Linked DNA regions of Struthio camelus. The protein of the gene in region 3 interacts with the protein of the main gene of each other region in a biochemical or structural test. Links are inferred from orthologs where the notes say so. Each region holds a gene or a part of one and is shown on either strand. Other genes may lie near its edges.

What was found. The genes of interacting proteins can lie anywhere in the genome.
Region 1: the proteins of JUN (region 3) and ETS1 form a complex in vitro, tested with the Homo sapiens proteins (2 studies listed by BioGRID). The link is inferred for Struthio camelus from reciprocal best matches to the Homo sapiens genes JUN and ETS1.
Region 2: the proteins of JUN (region 3) and PIN1 form a complex in vitro, tested with the Homo sapiens proteins (2 studies listed by BioGRID). The link is inferred for Struthio camelus from reciprocal best matches to the Homo sapiens genes JUN and PIN1.

The regions. Positions count from the first base shown.
Region 1 is NC_090963.1:7,815,998-7,823,530, reverse strand, and holds the start of ETS1 (protein C-ets-1), read right to left. Parts: upstream 3,093-7,533; 5' UTR 3,066-3,092; coding exon 2,999-3,065; intron 1,780-2,998; exon of another isoform or gene 1,545-1,779; intron 1-1,544. UniProt on the Homo sapiens protein: Transcription factor. Directly controls the expression of cytokine and chemokine genes in a wide variety of different cellular contexts. May control the differentiation, survival and proliferation of lymphoid cells.
Region 2 is NC_090972.1:5,062,640-5,070,249, reverse strand, and holds the start of PIN1 (peptidyl-prolyl cis-trans isomerase NIMA-interacting 1), read left to right. Parts: upstream 1-4,518; 5' UTR 4,519-4,619; coding exon 4,620-4,677; intron 4,678-6,939; coding exon 6,940-7,140; intron 7,141-7,610. Other genes in the region: FBXL12 (F-box/LRR-repeat protein 12), read right to left, coding at 1,408-2,181, 2,586-2,717, 2,835-2,894. UniProt on the Homo sapiens protein: Peptidyl-prolyl cis/trans isomerase (PPIase) that binds to and isomerizes specific phosphorylated Ser/Thr-Pro (pSer/Thr-Pro) motifs.
Region 3 is NC_090949.1:34,117,744-34,124,402, reverse strand, and holds JUN (transcription factor Jun), read left to right. Parts: upstream 1-4,189; 5' UTR 4,190-4,698; coding exon 4,699-5,643; 3' UTR 5,644-6,151; downstream 6,152-6,659. UniProt on the Homo sapiens protein: Transcription factor that recognizes and binds to the AP-1 consensus motif 5'-TGA[GC]TCA-3'.

The DNA.
Region 1 (7,533 bases), on a different chromosome or scaffold from region 3:
CTTACACTGCTCCCCAGTTTCTGGGTCGCAGGGCCGTGCTCAGCCTCTGCCCATCCCATACCCATCGGTCCCAGGCTGGCATCTCACTTAGAGGGTCACACGAGGGTACCAGGCTTGGGACAGCCGCACAGTAGGATCTGGGTGCTTTTCTCCATCCCAACAGACCAAGGAGGTTCCCCTTCCGCAGGCTTAGGTGGGAAGGGCAAGAAGCAAGGGCAAGCCGGCAAGAAGGGGCAACGCTCGCAACCCCATCGAAACAGTTCTGTCTGCGAGAACCTGGATGAAGCCTTCAAAAACTGTCCACCTCCAACGCAACCACCCTCCGTGGGCTGCCGCGCTGGCAGCTCGCTGGCCCAAAGCTGCTTAGTGATAGTCATTTTATTTTTGCATCAAGTAATAATTTATCATCTTCGAGGGGGTGGGGAAAATAGCTCGTGGAAATGACATTCTTCCGCAAGGTTTTAACCCGCGAAGTGCTGGCATTTTCCAGGCTGCCTGCCAATATAATTCCCAGGAGAAAAACCAGTGTTTGTAGATGTGCTGGTACATTAAAAACTCATTCAGTTCATCAAACCCTGGCATCAACTTTAAAATAAAAGGAGCATCCCTAATGCAGGGATACGAGCAGTACGAAAGAGCATGCTTCACTTGCTGCAGCGAAGGCTGTTTGCAACACATGCTTTTTAACAGATTGGCCACCGGCTGTCTCCATTTCCCATCACGGGAATTCACATTTAGTGTGATTTCAAAAGTTTGCAGCAAGCGCACAGATAATACCTAATCTACCGAAGGGAAGCCAGGAAGAACGGTAAATAATGATGCGATGGCAAACACAGCAAGAGCCCTTCTGCACCCTCCGCAAATACTCCAAGGGATGAAATGACTTGGCTAAGGTCACACAGAGAAAGCGAGGGAGAGAGGTCGAGTACCGGAGCCTCTAAGCCGCTATCTTAAACGACCCGGCAGCGACTGCCGTTGGATCAGCGGTGCTTTGAGGAGGTTGTCCACACCGTTTCTGGGGACGGCGTGGCCAGGGGCGGCAGGGAGGGGGCTGCCGGTCCGCACATCGCTTTCCGCTTTAACGCCGTGCCCCTTTTCTCAGCCGCTGCCAGCGCTGAAGCAGATTTGACGGTGCCTTAAGGGCCTTCCACCTTCCCAGAGAGACAGCAGCAGGATGGTTAAGGTTTGGACCAGGCAGATATGTGCATGCACACACAAGCCCTCGATCCCTGAGCTTGGGAGTAAACCCGACTTAGACTTTGCCTTTACCCAACTCATTAGTCGGTGGGGAAAAAAAAAAATACTAGCCATCGCTATTTTATCATTAAGCTTAAAGTAATGCCACCACCACCAGCACCGTCAAGTCTATAGCAAACCGACACCTGGAGGTCATGCCAAGGACGCAGGTTTAGGTGAGACACTAAACCAGAGCGGCCGTTGCCATTAAATCACGCCGCTCTCTGGGATCATAACAGCTATTTGCAATAGCAGGAAGACGTGAACGGGAGGGAGGGGGTAATTAGGTCATCTGCTATTTCACTCACGTATTTCCCTCCGTGAAGGCACAGGCTTAAAACACAACACCACGCACCAGCTCCTCAAGCAGGGCAAAGCAGCGGGGCTGGGGGGAAGAGCCGGACCCGCTTCTCGCTAGGCGGTGAAAGATCCCCTGCCCCAGGGCAGCCCGCGCATCCCTCTCGCGTAAAGCACAACCCAGCCCAGGGCAAGCCAGGGCTTTCCTGCGGATGCAAGGCCCGGCTTTACTTTCGTGTTTCGCTACAGGTTTCCTGCAGGGCAGGTGATGCCGGCGCGCCGATGCACAGGGGCACGCAGACGGACGCAGGCGCTGGACGCGCAGCGCGCTTCCATCACAATCCAAGCCGCCGGACGCGCGTCGCCGCTCCCTGCTGCCCCAGGTGAAAATGTCCGGGTAGCCCAAAATATCCCGGCTTGCGGGAAAATTGTTTACGTGACGTTCGGGGGCAAGATAAAAACCCGGCCGAGTTAGAGGCAGCGCCAGCGGTCTGTAACCAGGAAACCGCGCTGGAGCCAGCCCACAGCCCCCAGAGGTGTCAGTTGACAGCACTGGATGGGAAGTCGATGGTAACTGCAATACCAAACGAGTGGCCACATGCAAAGCGATAATTTAGAGACTAATAGGGACGTGGAAGGCCTTGACCGTGCTTCGCGGGCGCTCACAGCTCCTCCTGGCTTTTTCGGCTGGGTGAGAGAAGCAGGATCGTGCCCTTCCCGGGCAGCGGCAGCGGCGTATCCGCAAACCCCTGCGGCTGCCGCCCGTCGGGGCTCCCAGCTCCGGCTGCTCCCAAAAGCAAACGCTGGCGCTCGTGGCATTTTCTGCCCTTCGGAGGATACCGTCGCTCTTAAAAACGAAGGGAGGTGCAGCAAGCAGTCGGCCAAAGGCAGAAAGCAGCCCCAGCGGCCGGGGCTGAAAGGCAGCCCGTGCACGGGGAGCGAGCATCTGGCCCTGGGCACCTCGCTTCTCCCCCGGCCGAACCAGCCAGCATCCCAAAAGCAGCAACGCAAAACATACAATGAACTGCAAACTCAACCGACGGCGATAACGCCAAGAAGCAGCAGCCTTCTAGCCCGAGGTGAGGAAAACCATAATGTTCCCCTGAGCATGCACACAAACTTCAGATGCTCTATATACAAAAGGGATTTTTTGGGGGGGCGGGGAGGGGGGGAGGTGGGGGGGGGGGGAAACGCAGCAGCTCAGCTATTTACAAAATCCCGCCGCGCTGCCAGCAAACACGCGAATCGATCGCTGCGTGCAGCTCCCCATGGGGAGAGGAAAAAGTAAATCATCGGCAAAACAAATCGGAGGTGTCCTCAAAAACGAGCGCAGGTACCTGCAGCCCACGCGCGAGTTCAGAAAGAGCCTCTCCCCGCCGTCACTTACTACTTCTCGGAAAGACCCGGGGAGGAGGCGGGGGGGGGGGGAAAGGTTACGTCCTCCACCACGGCTGGCCACACTTGCCTCCGATCTCTTCCCAACTACCTGGTGCTGTCCTCCGCGCCGGAGCTGGAGAGGATGGGAATGCCATAGCGTGCGCGGCAGGGCCGCCTATTCAAAGGCAGGGGGAGTGGTCAGCCCCGCATGCAGGGCGGTGGGAAAGGCGAGCTCCCACGCCGCCGCCGAAAGCCACCTCTGCGGATGGCACGCCGGACCCTGCCGGTCCAGGCGGGGGGACCCCCGCCCCCCCACCCCGCTCCCCGGAGGCTAGCTGGGCCAGCGGCCTCGGCCCCGCTCCTGCCGCGGATATTGCCGCACGGCGAGCGCCAGCCGGTTGGGCCCCGCACAGTCCTCGGGAGGTGGGAATTAGTCTTTCCGTGGAAGTGTGAAAAGAAAAGAAAAAAAAGGGGGGGGGGGGAAAAAAAAGGCAAAAGGCACGGCGAGCACAGCCAGGGCGAGGTTTAGCCGGCGACCTGACGCCTCAACGCCGGCTCCGCCGCTGCCGCTCCCTGGAGGTGCCTGACCCCAGAAACCGCGGTTTCTTCCTAAAAAGCCCTCTGGGCACCTCTGAGCGTCCCGCTCGCGTGCTCTGCTGGCTGCAGGGGGGCTTTTCGGTGCCTCCCTCGCCCCCGCGCCGTCGGGGAGCCGTGGTGGCCGCTGGCTTTCTCCCCAAAGCAGGGAGGCTGCGGCGATCGCCCCCTTACTTAAAGGCAGCATCTCGGAGCGAGCGCTGGGAGCTGCTGGCTCCGTCCCCTCCTCTGACCGCGGCGGCCGGTCCCCGCTCACAGCGTCCCCCTTGGTGCGGGGGCCGGCGGCGGCGGGGGTCTCCGGCGAGGCCGTGCCGGAGACGGACGGCCAGAGCGGTCCCCACCGGGCCCGCCGGCGGGCAAAGGGACAGGGGCCGGAGGAGCAGGTTGCGTGCCGAGGATGTCAGTGTAAAGTCGCTACCGGGCTCTGGGGGAGCAGGGCCTGGGGTTCGCCCCTGCCAGCGCCGGCGGCCTTGCCCGGCCCCAGGCAAGGCCGCCGGCGCCTCCAGCCCCAGCGCTGCTCCCCCCAGCCTGGGCACGGGAGGAAGCGCCCGTCTCGCCTCCCTCGCTCTCCCCGCCGGCGAGGCTGCCTTTTCCTCCAGGAGAGGGCTCCAGGCTGAAAATGCGCTCCGGCTCGAGCCGGAGATCCGAGTCACGACGGCGGCGTGAGCGGCGGGGCTGCCTGAGCATCCGGGAGCAGCCCCCGGGAGCAGAGGTGAAGCGCCGGGGGGCCCCAGCCCCGCTCACGACCCGCCGCCCGGCCGGCACGCAGCAGCCGGCGTTTCGCCGTGAGCTCTGAGACCCAGAAAGCCCAAGCGAGGAGGTGGATTTTCCCCCCACCCCGGGTTGGCTGCAAGCGCTGAGCAGCTCCCTGCTCCGCTCCGGATGCGCCCGGTCCTACGGAGCCCAGCGGCTCTCTCCGGGCTCTCGCTGTCCCCTCGGTGCCGGCAGCCCGAACACCGAGGCTCACCCCCGTCCTGCGCCGAGGCAACAAGTCCGCTTACGGAGAGAACGGCAGGCTTGGAGCAGCCGCTCTGGTTTCCCCTGGAAACCCTAATAGTGAACTTGAATACACCAGTGACAGTGGGGACACAGCCGCGGGGTTCAGCCCTTCTTACCCAGACGGAGTGACACGGTGATGCTCTGCTCGCCTGAACGTGCGCAGAAGCGGCCGGTTGGCAGGAAAGTTTGCAGCATCTTCTCCGTACAAAAATGCAGCCTGTACATCTACGTATTGTCACCGGAAATCCAGGCTGAGGCGTTGGTCAGTCTAGGGGCAGAAGTAACTCCTGGGGACCTCCTGGCCCGCTCCAAACGCTGGACGCTCCCAGCCAAGCAGACGATTGCAAAGCGCAGACCAAAACAGCATTTGCAGAAGCTATTAAGTGAATAATTCCTGCCAGCACCGGCTCCTAGTGCATCCACTGCTGCCAAATGCTTCCTAGAGAAATTAAATATGCAAAACTGTAGCGCTCACAGGCGTAAAGGACTCTCCAGTTCTTCGCCTCCCAGCCCAGGAGACACTGATTGCTCAGATGCGTATAGTGACAGATACAGAACCAGTATTTACGCGCATAAAACTATTAACAGGGACTTTGAGGATTTTCTCAAGCTCCTAAGCGCAAAGCGAATTTCCATTTTAGCCCTTGCCTTAGCTGGGAAACACATGGCGACAGGTGGCATGAATACACGTTACCTGTTGAACTTGCAGCCATAAGGCGCAGATCCCGCTTGTAGCTGTTTTAACTCAGGAAATTATTTGCAGGGTTCCATCTTCTCGGGAAGGTTTCCAGCCTTCTGGGCTTCGGCACAAAGGCTCGGTCACGTCTGAGAGCCAAAGGAAGAGAATTCATCCAACAATCAATTTTTATCTGGGCAACTCTTCCCCAAGGCTGCAGGATAACCCTGCTGGCAGCTGCAAACAAGATGTCTTTCCCAGGGCTGGAGGGTTTGCTCTGGAGCAGACGGTTCTTCAGATGCACTATCCTATATATTAATAGCCGCTGTATACGGCTGTCCAATTGACCGTGCCTCTGCAAAATGGAGAGGCTTCTGGTTTGGCTGTTCTTGACGACACGGCACGGTGTCTGCTGGGCACGGATCGCCTCGCTCGTCTGGGGCAGGGCTTGCACGTGGACGCCTGATTTCAGGGTGGCCGCTGCCACATCGGTCACCTAAGCCAGTTGCCTCAGCTGGCAACAAAAACGTAGCTTTAATTGAGGGTGGTTTGTGGAAGTTGTCATGCAACTGTTGTGCAGAAAGAAGGACTTTCAGTTCCAGATGGCTTGAGTTTTCATTGCACTTGTAAAAAAAAAAATAAAATGATCCCTGAATGCTTAATCAAAGCAGTTATTAATGTTTCTGCCAAATCTGAAATGTGTCATGAATGTTTTCACGGGCTGCGCGCTCGTTGGCTGTTTGTATTTCAGTGGCACATAGTGAGCTCGAATGACATCCTGGCCCTCCTGGAAGGTGCTGGACATATACGTTAGCAGAAGCAGCACCTTTTCCGGTGAGTTAAGGCGTCTTTATCTCCATTTGGCAGGTAGAGGGATGGACGGAGAATGAGAGTAGCATCATGCTGAAGAAGGCTACAACTGGGGAGGATCACAGTCTGTATCGCAGAGCTGGGCAACGATCACCCGGGCAAAATCCACCTCAGCCAGAGTTACACTGACTGTCATCTGCCACAGTTCAGGCCCTGCAGGTCCCAGGTTGCTTTCCAGGGAAAGACCCTTCAGAGTGGTAATCCCCTTGAAGATTATAAGCCATTGAGGGTGATAAGATGAATGAAGACAGCGTCCACATCACTTTATGGACCTGTAAGTATCATCATTCCCGTATGACACTGGAAAAACAGAGCAGGAGCTGGTAAAGTCACCATGAGCACCTGATCCTGTCTCCTTTCGGCTGGTGCTACGTGGTGGCCCCAGTGCCAGGGAGTAAAGCATGGGGAAACCTGACTTGGAGGGTTGTAGCGATTCCCAGGCGCTACTTGCACTGTGAAAAGATGATACAGCCAGATCAAGGTGTACAAAAAGCTGTCGTTATTTGAGCGCGTGGAAGTGGTCACCATTGAAGGTGAGCAAATTTGGCCTCCTTGCTGCCTGGATTCAACGCATCAGCAGCCATGGGAAGCAAACGGATCCAGAAAGTGAGCAGAGTCCAAAAATAAACCTCCCAATGCTTGTAAATGTTACGGCAGGTTCACCCCGGCCGCAGCAGCATTCCCTCCTGACCCTCCTCAAAATGAAGACGATGGTGCATCGCGTGTGCCACAGATGCTTCAGCAGTGGCCCATGAAGAGCCGCGCACATCTGGCCGCCAGCTGCGGAGGCTTTCCGTCGCTGGCTAGCCTCGAAAGCAAACGGGAGTCGCCACCGGAGCTCGCCCCTTCTGGCCCAGCAGGCAGAGAAAGGGACGGAGACCTGATTAATAATTACCCCCGTTGCCTCCTGGTGCAGGACCCGAGGACAGCCACAAGCCCCGTCCGAGTCAAGGGGAAACGTGTCCCCTAGAGCCACGGGATGGGGTTTTGCCAGTCCTGGGTCAGGCAGGAGCTCAGACCCCCAGTCTCGGGTACATGCAATGGGCACAGGATATAAGCTAAAAAGAAAGGCGATTCTGGGGACATCCTGAACGCTAAAACTGGTCCACACATGACTGCTGTGAGGCTATATTAGGTTAGAAGCTGCTACAGTTAAATCTCCTTCATGTGGCCTGAGTTAACTGCTATAAACTTGCTCATACGTGGTTTATCTTGCTTCACTAAGGGGCACAAGAACTGTGCAGCAAGCGGCTTTAAATAACCTCGGGGTCTGAAGATGTGAGAACGGTTCGGGTGTGACAGGATGGGTGGAAAAATCCCTTCGTTCTACTTTGAGCACTGATTTTTAATACAGCCTCCCTCTCTACATATGATTATAAATATATATATATATATTTATTTTTTTATATTTATATACACATATACATGATAAAACCAAAAATAGCACTAACTCCCGTCAAAATTTTCATTCTGGAAGAGGAAGT
Region 2 (7,610 bases), on a different chromosome or scaffold from region 3:
TAACTCCACATGTGTCTTCAATAATGGAAAAGCTTTGCTAGGACAAAAGGGTCAACCAAACTGGAAGACAAAATCCATGGGTTTCCCTGAGGGAGTCTTGCAGTCCTGCGCCAAGCTTTCCAGTGGGTCTGTATCACTGCATTTTGATTCGTGTGCAACTCTTCCCTTCTGCTTTACCGCAGGGCAGCAGGTCTTCAGCTGTTAACACCTGAGCACACCGACTGTGCAGTGACAAAGGTTGCCTGACTTGCATATTCTAACAAAGACACTTATGACAGTTCAGTCAAAATATTCCAATAGCATGAGGAAGGCTAACAGTCAAAAACACTTTTATTTAATAAATACAGTATTTGATTAAAAACAGCATCCTTGGGTAACCCAACAGTCCAGAACAGCAATGTCACAAAGCTTCAGTTGCAATGTCAGGTAAGTTTTTTCTGTCACGTCCCTGCTGTTACAACATCTTGAGTAAGAGCAGTATGTGAACAATACAAGACAATAAGGCAATGTGGCTGCTCGCGGTAGCACAGCCCAGCAAAACAAGGAGAGGTAACAGCAGCCCCCTCTGATGCCCAGGAGCACGTATGGGTGCCCTTTCTCTCCACAAATGGAATGTGATGCTTTTGGGAACAAGCAATTAGGAAGATCTGCAACCAAACTTTTCTGCATTTTGAAAAATAACTTTCAGGACTAAACTTGGCAGGAAGATAAAAGCAAGAAGACAGCCCAAACTATGAAAACACTCGGTGTCTGGGCAGCAGGTCACCCGAACTGTTCCGAGAACAAACCAACTCTGGCAGCACGTGTCTGAAGCGCAGCCTTTTAAGTGTTTCTTCCTAGGCATAGTTAGGAACGTACACACAGGGTGGTTGAGCAATCAAAGTTAGATATTAACTGGAGTTCTAGGTTTTGGGCAGCTTTTTTTTTTTTTTTTGGTAGTTTGTTTTTGGTGGGGGGCAGTAGGGCATCTCACTTCATCTCTTGAATTCTGTGCTGGTTGAACTGCTGCCTGATGCTCAGCACAGGGGTGAAACAGGGCACAGGAAGAGGTTAAATATGGACACACACGTGTGCTCACTCGCTTGCTCACTCTCTGAAACCTCTGTCAGCCCTTGGTCAATTCACTGCTGGGGTTCCCAAACGTAAACAGCTGCGTATTCACTGACTTTCCAATTTGCCTGATCCATGGAGGGATCCCACCAGAAGCAAGTTCTCACCAAGCTATTTACATGACTTTGCAATGTGAAAATTGGCTCTTTTCACAGCACTGTTTTAGCCTGAGTGGGAGCATACAACTGTTACCAGGAAAAAAAAAATCATTACCCAAAAAAGCACATTTGAAGCTTGGTGATGAAGGGCGAGCGTCCTGCCACTTTAAACTGTTAACATCTTGCTTCAGAATCTGTATCAAGGAGTATGTGAAAAGCTGCAGTTAGGCAAACTCGCCTGAATTTTATGTATTGCCTCATCTTCAAAATGAGCCCCATCTAAATTGAGATTCCTCAGCTGGGGGAGTGCTTGGCACAAAGCAACAATGGCATCAGGGGAGAACTTATCACAGAGGTCAAGGCAGAGCGTTTCCAGGCACTTCAGGGTCGCTAGGCAAGCCAAACCTGCATTTGTCAAGGAATAAGCATTGCTGATCTCCAGCAGTCGGAGACATTTCATATGGCGCCCAATGAAACGAACAGCGGAGTCGGTAATGACGCAGTGGCGCAGCACAAGGCGCTCCAGCCCCCCCAAGTACACCGCTGCTCTCTGAATCCCTGCGTCTGTTACCCGGTAGGTCCCAGACAGGGTCAGCGTCTTCAGATGAGTCTGGGAGGAGACGTTTAGCAGATGCTGGTCGCAAAAGGCAGGGACGTTCCGGACGATGAGATGCTGCAGCTGGGGCAGGGCGCTCGCGGCAGGGCCCTGGAACCAGGCAGCAGGGATTTCGCAGTGACTCAGCTCCAGCGTCCTCAGGGAAGCAGGCATGCTCTGGTAGGGGAGCGGGCGGAGGTCGGCCTCGGCCAGGCACAGCCGGCCCAGGCGGGGACACTGCCTCCCGAGGGCGGCCAGCAGCGCGGGAGAGAGGATCTCGTGCTTCCTCGCCGAGCACAGCGCGCCCTTCACCTTCAGTGTCCGCAGGCCGTCGCGCAGGTGCCGCCGCAGCAGGTGCCACAGGGTCCTGGAGCTGACCTGAGCGAGAAGGGAGTCAGGCCTCGCGCGGTGGCCCCCAGTCCCTACCGGGCATCCTCCAGCCCCTGGCAGCCCCCAGTCCCTACCGGGCATCCTCCAGCCCCTGGCAGCCCCCAGTCCCTGCTGGGCAACCCCAGCCCTCACCAGGCAGGCCCTGGTCCCCACCGGGTGGCCCCCGGCCCTGTGCAGCCCCCGGTCCCTGGCAGTCCCCAGTCCCCACCGAGCATCCCCCAGACCCCGGCTCCAGCCCCCACCGGGCAGCCCCCAGCCCCCGGGCAGCTCCCGTCCCCACCGGGCAGCCCCGGGCCCCGTACAGCCCCCGGCCCCCATCAGCCCCCACAGAGCAGCCCCCGGCCCTGGGCAGCCCCGGTCCACCCCGGTCCCCGGGAACCCCTAGTCCCTACCGAGCAGCCCCCGGCCCCGGGCAGCCCCCAGCCCCCGGCTGCAGCCCCCGGTCCCCCACCCGGTGCGCGCTCAGGTCCACGTGTCTCCAGAGCGCCCGGTCCTGCCCCAGGCGCCGCCACCGCCGACAGACCCTGTGGGGAGAGAGGAGGCCGGTCACCGCCGGAACCGGGACCGAGACCCGGCCCCGGCCCGGCCCGGCCGCACCTGCCCGCGCGCAGCCGGTCCCGCAGCGGCAGCAGCGCCAGGACCTCCAGGAGCACCGAGTCGGGCAGCGCCGCCAGCCCGGCGCCCGGCGCCCCCTCCGCCATGGCAACGGGCCGCTTCCGCTTCCGGCGGCCGCGCTTCCGCTTCCGGGGCGCGAGGGCACCCGCGACTTCCGCTTCCGGCGCGGCGACTTCCGCTTCCGGCGGGGCAGTCGTCAGCGGCGGCGGAGTGGCCTGCTCGGGTCTCCTCTGCGCGGCCCCCCCCTCGCAGCCCCCGCTGCCGGCGGCGCCTCTCTTCCCTCAGGAACGATGATCGAAGTCGTCTGCAACGACCGCCTGGGCAAGAAGGTGCGGGTGAAATGCAAGTATCCCCGGGCTGGGGCCGGGGGGCGGCGGGTGAGGGGGGTGGCGGCGGCTCCTCCCGGTCCCGCTTTCCTTAACGGCGCCGCCAGCACCGAGGACTCCATCCGCGACCTGAAGAAGCTGATCGCAGCGCAGACTGGGACCCGCTGGGACAAGATCGTGCTCAAGAAGTGGTGAGCGGGGCGGGCGGCGGCCGCCGCTCCTCGGCCAACGGCCCCCTCGGCGCCTGGCCCGGGCTGGGGTGCGGCCGAGCGGCCCCCGGCTGCGCCCTAGCGCTGGGGGAGCCGGGAGGGGAATCCCGGCCCGTTTTGGGGTAGCGTTGCTTGGCCGGGCTGTCACGGGCGGCTTCAAAACCACGCTAGGTCTCCGCTGCTGCCCCTCCATGAGGGGGCTGATGGGAGCAGGGCTGTTGGGGAGGCTGAGGCTGCACCGCTCCCAGGGCGTCTTCCTTTGCTTTAACCTGTGGGGGGGTCACGTGTGCCAGACTGATCTCCGTTTCACGATAACTGCAGGTACACGATCTTCAAGGACCATGTCACGCTGGGAGACTGTATCCTTCTTGCTGTGGTAGTCTCAGTAAGGTTTCTCTGGGGAAACTTCCCAGTTAAATAAGAGATCGAGAACATTTACCGGACGCGCAGCCGGAACGCTGGAACAACGCGCGCGTCAAACCCAAGCAGGCAGCGTGAGCAGAGAGGAAGCGGCTGGGCGCATGCAGCGCTCGCCCTCCTTCCCCGCTGCTGGCAGCCCTGGGGGTGGAGCACGTCCCTGACAAGTGTTGTTTGGTTTGGGACGTTGTACAGCAAGCCAAAGGCAGCGTGGGGTGCAGCTTAGCGCTGGGGGAAGCTTGTCGGGGGCCCTGCGCCAGAACCACCTTAACTTGCTGCTTCAGATGAGATCCACGACGGCATGAACCTGGAGCTCTACTACCAGTAGCGGCGGCTGCCGCGCCGTCCCCACTCCCCGCCTGGCCTGGCTGATGCCTTCCCTCTGTTCCCCTCGCGCGGCCAGCGCGCCGAGCGCCCCGCATTCGTGCATGGAGGCAGTAGATGTGCTGTAGCCTCTCGGGAGTGTTTTGGCTAGTTTGTAATAAACATGTCCCTCGACGTGTCCCTCTTGTCGTGCTGCGGCTCGAGGGGCCGGTGCGGGCGGGCGCCGGGGGGGGGGGGGGGGGAAGCGGGCGCGCTCTGGGATCTTTTGTGCGTCGGCGGCCGCCGTCCGGCCTCCTGTCACGTGCCCCGCGATCGCTTCCGGGAGCAATGCGGCCTCCCGCCCGCAGCCAATCAGTGCCGGAATGGTGCGTGCTTCCGCCAATGGCGCTGAGGACTCGCGCACGAAGGAGGGACGTAGCCCACGGCTGGGCCAATGGGAGCAGAGCGGGGACGGGGCGTGCCCGCCCCCCGCGCCAATGGGGGCCGGGCCGGGAGAGGTCGGTGCGGGAGGCGCAGCTGCCGCGGCCGAGGGAAGATGGCGGAGGAGGAGAAGCTGCCCGCGGGCTGGGAGAAGCGCATGAGCCGCAGCTCCGGTACGGGCGGCGGCAGCGGCGGCGCTGAGCCCCCGCGGGGCGGGGGGGCCTTGGGGGTGGCGAGGGCCTGGCCGGGGCGGGGGGGGGCTGGGTGTCTGAGGGGGGTCTGGCCGGGGGGGGCGGGGTTTTTGGGGGTGTTGAGGGCTGGTTGGGGGCTATGAGGGTAGCCGGGCGGGGGGGATTTTGGGGGTGTTGAGGGCCTGGTCATTGGGTCTGAGGCGGCCTGGTTGGGGGGGGTGGATTTTGGGGGTGTTGAGGGCCTGGTCATTGGGTCTGAGGCGGCCTGGTTGGGGGGGGTGGATTTTGGGGGTGTTGAGGGTGTAGTCTGGGCTGTGGGGGGGGATGGTTGAGAGATGGGGGCTCTGGGGCAGGTGCTGTGAGCTGGACTTTGGGGTGGGTCTCGAGAGGTTCTCGAGGGGTTGAAGTTCAGGCTTTTGGGGGGGGGGTCCTGAAGGGTGCCTGACTCTGGGGCTGCTTTGACTAAGATGGTGCCTGACCTGGGGGGAGGGTTTGGGCTTTTGGGGGTGAGGGGCAGCTCCTATGTCCAGTGGGATGTTGATCTACAAGGGGAGATGGAGCGTGATTTCTGGGAGCTGGGTTGGGGTGAGGGATGTGCTGGCCCTGCACCCCTGGGGGGAGGGTGGTGCTGGCAGCTGCTCCGTCCCTGTGTAACTGGCGGGGAGGCCTGGGGATGGGGGGATTGAGCCCAGCGAGACCCTTGTCTGAGAGCCCCCATCGGAACATGCAGGATGTCTTGCCTTCAGTGTGGCTGCTGTGACTTTGTAGCTCGAGAGCAGAAGTCCTTGGTCAGGATGGCGTTTTCAGCAGAGTTTTTGTCCTTTCTAGTTAGAGCTTTCCATGTTATGGGACCTAATGGCTCAAAAGCAGTTTTTAGGATGCTGTGTTCTCATGCTTGACTGTGGGGGAGATGAGTCCAGGGAGGCAAAGCGTGGAAAGGGAAGAGGTGTCTGTGTGACGCCTTCTTTGTTAAAACTGCGATGGTTGAAGTGCCCTGGCGATAGGGAGCTTTGTGATTGTGTGGAGTTGTCAAGTCTGGGTTGTTAGTGGCCTCCTGGAGGGAGAAACACGGATGACTGTATGGCACTGGTTGGGATTGCAACCGGGGAATTGGGCCCTTTGTCACTACAGCATGACTTCCTACTGCATAGTAAGTTAACCACTGCTGTTGCATTCCCCCTCCCTCGATTTCCTGGCAGAATGGGCTTTTTTTGTGAGTCTTCTGTGGCTCTGGTTTCACTGGAATGCTTTAAGATGAATGCTGCAATAGAAGTTGGAAATCATCTTGATTACAGTTGTGAATTATTGCAGATAAATGAACATGTAGCTCTGAGCCAACACTGGAAGGCCTTTAAGCAAGTGGTGCATCCCTGTCACTGGATGACAGTATTAACTGGCTTTGTTTTAGTGCTGAACGTGGTGTTTTCATAGATGATTTAATCAGAACTTTACTTTCTGCTATGAGGGGGAAGGCATGAGCGTTTTGTGTGGGGAGGTCTTGTTTTCTGGTAGAAACAAAAAGTGATTTTGGAATTGGGCTTTTCTGAGCAATACAAAGACAGGACCTTTGGTAAGGGTAATTTATTGCATTTGCTGCAGCCTGTGCTAAATGATGCACTTAACCGAGAGGCTTTACCTTGTTTCACCATTGCAGATAGTGCTAGAGTGAAATACAACCTTATATCCGCACACCAGAGACCTAGCACCGATCCCTAGCTGCGCAGGGGCAAAAGGGCAGGGTTCCACCGTGTTACCGCGTGCCTCCTTAGAGGATGTGTTGCCATCGCGTGACTGGGAGCTGACTGCGCTCCTTGCTTTCTTAAGAATAATCAACACTTCACATAGGCGAACTTGTGGTCTAACCCTGGCCGCAGCGGCAGGGTGTTGTGTGGGAACGTTTGTTGTTCTGACTGGAGCAGTGGGTGCTTTTGGCCCTGATCTATGGGAGCTTCATGACTTGCCCTAAATTGGAAGAGCTGCTGGAGTCTGCTTCTGCGCAGAGCTGTTGCTTTGACTAAACTCGTGTTTCCATTTGTGTAGGAAATGATGTATACAGAGCTATAAACTACTGTGTGCGATACCATGTTTTTACTGCGCTGGCATTGATAATCTGAACACGGCCGACCACAGTCTCACCTACTTGCAGAAATCTGGTCTTATCTGTCTAGTGGGCCTTGAAAGAAGCTAGTTCTAGGGGTCTGACAGGAGCTTTTTATAACCCTGACGCTCTCTTTCTGTCTGCAGGCCGCGTTTATTACTTCAACCACATCACAAATGCCAGCCAGTGGGAACGTCCCAGCGGCAGCGGAAAGAATGGCCAAGGGGAGCCCACCAAAGTGCGATGTTCACATCTCTTGGTGAAACACAACCAGTCCAGAAGACCCTCATCGTGGAGGCAGGAAAAGATCACGCGGACCAAAGATGAGGCACTGGAGCTTATAAATGGCAAGTAAATGCAGGAGAGAGAGAAAGAGTGATACTATTGTAGGGGAAAAGTCATTTTAAGGCTTAGAACTGAACCCTGAGATGAATGGTTCAGTGTGTCGTGAACTCTCTAAAGCAAAGTTTTTGAGCCAAGTGGTTTGAACATGGACTTTCGTGTAGCATAGCCACTTGGAGAAACAATTTTGCTGTATGATTTGCTGGCTGTGATTAAATGACATAGTCCTACCCCATGTGCCTTCTTCCCCTTATGTTTTTTGTAATGTTGTTTCAGAGGTTTGCTTGTATTTTATTTGTAAATGTGTATTTTTATATTAAAAATAAAGTAATTATTTAAAGCTAAAACAAATGTTCTTTAAACATCTCTTTTTGTTTAATATGTCATTTGACTCTTTGCACTAATGGCAGTTACTGTAAGTTCTGATTAACCTCTGCTTAAAATCAAGTTGCTTGTATAGGCATCTTGCACAAAG
Region 3 (6,659 bases):
TAATTTGTCCCTGAAAAGCCATTTAATTATTCAGATTATCTGATTGCCTCAGTCAGTCTTGTATTGATTGATTAGAGAACTTTATAAATCAAAATCTATATTACTGCTGGTCAAAGCATCTGCCTCTCACATCAGCAGACATATACAGTTAATTTCCAGGCCCTACCCACAAGTTAGTTTATTGAGACATGTAAATGGCTATGGTTTATAAATGGGTCAGGTAAGTGTTCTTTCATACGACTAAGGGAATATTTACTTAAGGACATCAGGAAAGGGGGGAAAAGCCCTAAAGTAATAGCTGTTTAATAAATTAGGAGCCTAGTCACCAAAATTCCCAGCTCCTTGGCTGATGGCCACGAAGGATCACTGCCTCCATACTCACGGGGCCTACTTCTGTTTTGTGATCTGTGGCACTGGGAGAATCTCAAATGGTAAAGTTGGCACTTAGCCGAAATCTAAGATGAGACTTCTGTCTTCAGCCAAGCACCTGGTCACCAATCGTTCCCACATTAGACTCAAAGAGGTGGAAAATCCCCTCAGAACAAGCAGCAATGAAAATCTGTCTTCAATTCCAGAGCCTCCTGCTACGCACAACCTTTATGACCAACTTGAGTGCCTATTGCCAGCCTGGACCAAACAACCCCTAAGTGAGTAGCAATTAACATAATGAGTGGACTGATGAGCGTCCCGCATAGCTACAGGCCTCAGCAGCAACATGTCCCTAGCAAACTGGAACGTCTAGTCCTGAAACTCCACCTTTGTAAAAGGAAGGCAGTCGGAAACTAAAACGGGTGGGGGAAAAAAAGAAAAAGAAATTAAATGACTTAAGTGAATATCTCCATCCCAATCCAACACTCACTGAAGCTAATGAAAACCTTGCATTGATACTGGGGGGGGGCTGAACTGGACCAACCATAAGGGAGTAGTTTTTCAGATTACACACAAATTTATTAAACAGAGCAGTTAAAGCTACAGTGACCACACTCCAGATTTGTAGTCTGGACTTGGCTTTCTAGGACAAAATAGACTTACAGAAAAAAACAAAAACACAAACTGAATAGACAGAACTCTGACAAATTAAATATGTCAACAATTCACTGGAATGAACTTAATTAGGATTATTTGCCTATGCCAAAAACTGACCAAAGCAAATGATTTGCACAGGTTTCCTATGTAACAGAAACCAGGGGGAAAAAAAAAAAAAAAAAACTTTTCAGCTTAATTTAAAAATTATTCTTATTCCATAATAAAAAACTGCCACACAACAAACTACTTAAAATTCCTGTCTTACCTTTCTCCAGAATTTCTTCCTTGCACAGACAAGCCCTTTATAAACATCCAAATTGTACACTGACACAACACAGAGAGATCATTTACAGTATATCTCGGGGGGGAGTTTTAAAGCAGCAAGAACGTAAGGACAGCCATATCAGGTCCAACTAGATACCCTATCTCTTCACAGTGGCCAGCAACGGATACCTAAAGAAGCATATAAAACCAGGGAAAGCACACAGCAGTTTTGCCTCAGGATGCTCTCACAGACACAAGTCATTTGCAGCTTTGGGGTTTCCAGAACCAGAGACGTATTGCATTCAAGAGCCCTTAAGGGATTTTTCTTCTGCAAATTCATCTAATCACTTTTAAAGCAACGAAAACCTTTAGCATGCCAAGGAGCTCCACAGCTTAACGACGCATTCTGTGGAAAAATTTTGCTGATTTGTTCTGAACCTACTACCTGCCTACTACCTTTGATTTGATGCCCCTTGGCTACTGGGTCAGAAGAGTCAGCGACTGGCCTCCATTTATCCTATACATAAAGATTAAAAAGGAGCTAAAGAGCTGCATTAATGAATTTAAGAGATTTTCTTATGCATATGCAGTAATTCATGCTGTTTTGCAAAACAGTATGCAGCTGAAACTACAGTGGTAGTCGAGTTGTTCTGCGCAACCTGCCACGCAGACATGTTGCCTACGTGAAGATAGCATGTATACCAACAGCATACAGAAGGCCACTAATTCAAGGGCAAACTTTGTAATTTATACTATGGATTGTTAACACAAACGTACTAAGAACTGCAACTGGTATTTGCATAAAGCCAATCAGCTTACAAAGTAACAACAGTGCTGACCATGTGGTCAAATGTATATACTGACTGAAATCAGGTGGGAACACTAGGGGGAAAACAGCAAAGAAAAATAAACAGCAATAACTTAAGAACAGTGGAGTTATATGTTCACTTTTATTTCACAGCTGCTTTTGCTTCTGTTTGTTTCATTATTGTTTCCTATACTGTAACTGGTAATTATGTCATTACGTCTAGGGGAAAAAAAAAATAGGACAGAAGAATTTGAAAGTGTATTTTCAAACCTAGACATAAGTTTGTTGGCTTTACATACTATAAAAAGTGATTCAATTCTGCAGACCACCCTGCAACAGAAAACTTCTTTTACAAGTGTAAGGAACTGCTGCACCACTCACATGATACTGTACACCTCTTCAGTCCCTGTCCTACCCTGTATTGTCACTGTCCATCCTTAAATAGCAGCTGCACTTTATCCCAGAGGTGGCTGCATGTCAGCTTTTACAAATTCACACCACCCGAAGAGAAGAGGGTGTGCGGCAGGGTGAGGAGGGGGAAGGTCAGGAAATGAATTCAGGCAGTAAGGCACACCCTTTTATTAGAGAGATACACTAAACTAATACATGCAAGTCTCTCATAAGACTAGCTACGATAAACTAGGTATTAGCCAGCTGTTGCTCTAGAAAGAGCATGTCAGCACAGACTTGACGCTCCTTGCTTAGGGCCCTTCAACTCCCCCCCCCCCAACCAACCTGTACTTCCACAGTAATATTAGGACACTCTAAAATTAGGCTGTCGTTGTCCCCTCCCCTCGGAGGATGAGTTCAGAGAAGCCCATCTGGAACTAGGTTTTTTCCTTGTCTTTTTCGTTTGGTTTTGTTTTGCCCCCTCTATCTTTCCGGCAAGTCCTGAGCCCAGGAATTGACGCCACCGACTAAGATAATGGCAATCGCGCCCTTACTTGCATCCCCACCTCTCCCCCGCGGCCATCACGAGCTATTAGACAAAACGCGCGTAACCGCGTCGTAGGGCTAGTGGCGGGCAGGGCCAGGGCACGGGGGCAGGCCGGGGGGCCGGCCCGGCCCGGCGGACACCCCTCCGACCGCCAAGGGGCCGTTCCCGGGCCGCAGGGGCCCCCCGCCCCGTGACGCGGGCGGCCGAGCCGCTCCCGGAGTCCCTCGGCGGCCGCCCTCCCCCCGGCGGCGGCGGCGGCTCGCGGGGCCCGGCCCGGAGGCGAGGCCGCGGAGGAGGCGAGGCCGCGGAGGAGGCGACGGCGCGGCCCCGGGGCGCCCCTCCGCGCCGGCAGGGCGGGCCGAGGCGCTGGGCCGCGTGGGCGGCGGGGAGCGCCGCAGGCGCGTGGGCGGGGGCCGCCCCGCGGCGGTTTGTGCCCTCCGCGGCCCCGCGCGCGCAGCCGCCTCGGCCCGGGCGCCGCCCCCAGCCCTGCCTGGAAGCCGCCCGGGCGAGGGGACGGCGGGCAGCAGGGGAAATCACGTGAGGGTTCTCCCCCCCGCCGCCGCGGAGCACCGGGAGCGCCACCTTAAGGGCCGTACCACCCGGCGGGGGAGGGCGCGGCCACGGCCAGGGGCCCCGCCGGCGCAGGGCAGAGCGGCGGCCCGCCCTCACCCCGCCGCCGAAACAAAACACAAGTCTAAAAAGCGGGGGGGGAGGGGGGGAACAAACGGCGGTTTAACAGCGGCGGCTCCGGCGCGGCGGGTAAGTCGGTACCTGCCCGCCGCCACCCCCCTCCGGCCCGCGGTTGGTACCTGACCGTTAAGGAGGCGCCCCCGCCCCGCCCGCCGCCGTCCAACCCGGCGCGAGCTCTGGGAGCGGGTAACCAGATATTCAAAACAATACGTCAGCCCACAATGCCCCGAGCCGCCGCCAGCATTACCTCATCCCACAAGGCCCCGCGCCGGCGCTGAGAAGCTTCTAGGGGCGGGGTGGCTATGGAGACCGGTTGATATGCAACAGGCCGGGCCAGCGGCCCGCCTCCCCCGGGAGATGCGGCGGCAGCCAATGGGGAGCCCGCGGGGTGACATCATGGGCTATTTTTAGCGGGTTCCCAGTCGCTGATAAGTGAAGGCTCCACGCCGGGACAGGGCTCAGAGCGCGCGGGGCGGGCGGCAGCGCGGCGCCAGCGCGGAGCCGGGTACGGCACGGCACAGCACAGAGCACGGCCGGCAGCGGCTCCGCCGAGGGGAGCGAGCGGCGAAAGGCGAGGGAGCTCCTGCGCCGGGGACGGCGGCTTCCGCGGCCGGGGAAGTACTTGTGGCAACTTGTGGCGGCGGCGCGGCGCGTCCCGTCCCGTCCCGGCGGCGGCGGCGAGCGAGGCGCCCCGCGGCACTGTTCCGTCCCTCCCCAGCCCCGCGGGGCCAGGCGGGCTCCCTGCGCGGCGGCAGCGGCGGCGGGAGGGGGCACCAGCCCGCCCGCGCCCCGGCGAGAAGCGGCGGCGAGCCGGGCTGCGCCCGCTGCCCCGAGCCGCGCGTGGCCGGGCCGCGGAGCCCGAGGCAGCTGCGCTAACGCCAACTTCCTCTGAGCGGGACGCGAGCGCCGGCGCCGGCCGAGCAGCTTCTCTCCGCTGATCGCAACTTTGGTACAACTCCGCGGACTGTGTTCTATGACTGCAAAGATGGAACCTACTTTCTACGAGGATGCCCTAAACGCTACTTTCGTGCCGCCGGAAAGCGGCGGGTATGGATATAATAATCCCAAAGTGCTGAAGCAGAACATGACTCTGAACCTATCCGATCCTTCCAGCAACCTCAAGCCTCACCTGAGGAACAAGAACGCAGATATCCTCACCTCCCCCGATGTCGGGCTCCTCAAACTGGCGTCGCCTGAACTGGAAAGGCTCATCATCCAGTCCAGCAACGGGTTAATCACCACCACTCCGACCCCAACGCAGTTCCTCTGCCCCAAAAACGTTACTGACGAGCAAGAGGGGTTTGCGGAAGGCTTTGTGAGAGCTCTAGCCGAACTGCACAACCAGAACACCATGCCCAGTGTTACCTCTGCTGCTCAACCTGTTAACAGTGGCATGGCACCTGTGTCTTCTATGGCTGGCAATAATAGTTTCAATACTAATTTGCACAGTGAGCCTCCAGTGTATGCCAATCTCAGCAACTTCAACCCCAACGCACTCAACTCTGCACCTAACTACAATACAAACAGCATGGGCTATGCACCTCAACATCACATAAACCCCCAGATGCCAGTGCAGCATCCCAGGCTTCAGGCTTTGAAAGAAGAACCTCAGACTGTACCTGAAATGCCAGGGGAAACACCTCCCCTGTCCCCTATTGACATGGAGTCACAGGAGAGAATCAAAGCTGAGAGAAAACGTATGAGAAACAGAATTGCAGCATCCAAATGCCGGAAAAGGAAGTTGGAAAGGATTGCCAGGTTGGAAGAAAAAGTGAAAACTTTGAAAGCCCAGAACTCAGAGCTGGCATCCACTGCCAACATGCTCAGAGAACAGGTTGCACAGCTAAAGCAGAAGGTCATGAACCACGTCAACAGCGGGTGCCAACTAATGCTAACACAACAGTTGCAAACTTTTTGAAGAGACTGACTTGAATAAGAACTATGATACCGTGGTAGAACTAAACAGAAAACCAAAAGTGGCAGATACATAAAGCTAATGGTAAAAGCTGAAAGGTTGAGTCCTGCCTGTGCTCCGCAAAGCGCATGTGTGGAAAGACTGGCAAGCCTTCAGCTTGAGTTAGTAGTGAAGCAGTCAGCACCGCTCCAAGAAGTGCTGTTCCTGCTCAGATGAGACGTCAGATCTTCGTTTAACATTGACCAAGACCTGCATGGACCTAACATTCGATGATCATTCAGTATTAAAGGTTAAACTGCAATAGAAACTGTAGATTGCTTTCTGTAGTATTCCTTAAGAGAAAAAAAAAAAAACACAGTGGGAGGGAGGTTTGTGGGAGGCTGATCAACAACAACAAAAAAAGAACCATTCTGCCTGCCTTCAAGTAAATTGTGTATGTACATATCTTTTTTTATTTTATTTTATGAAAGTTGATTAATGTCAATAAACTACTTCATGACTTTGTAAGTTATTTTTATGTTGTTTATTTGGGCACTGCCCAGTATTGTTTGTAAATAAGAGGCTTTTTTTTCTTCCTTTTTTTAGCACTCTGAGTTTACTGTTTGTAATAAAGTATAATTTTTTAATGTTTCTGTTTCTGGAAAAAAATCTAGAAGGTTCTATTATATTTAAGAAAATAAAATAATTAAAATGCATTTCCCCCTCCCACTTTTTTTGCCAGTACCTGAGTCAGGAAAATACCCTTTATTCTGACCTCAAAAGGTAGGGATTACGTTAAACTTGTAATATACAACTACAGGCATGCCCTGGAGAATGTGTGAGGAGTAGAGGGAGAAAAAACATCCTGATCCTTAAAGGAATATAACCTTTTGAATCTTCATTATGTTGCAGTTCAGAGTCTTAACTTGATTAAACTGTTTGCCATATTCTAGTGGCCCAGTTTAGAGACCTGATTTAAAGTTAAGCAGGTTGGAGAAGGGTCAAATGCCATTGCATGATATTGCCCCATGCTGTAATAG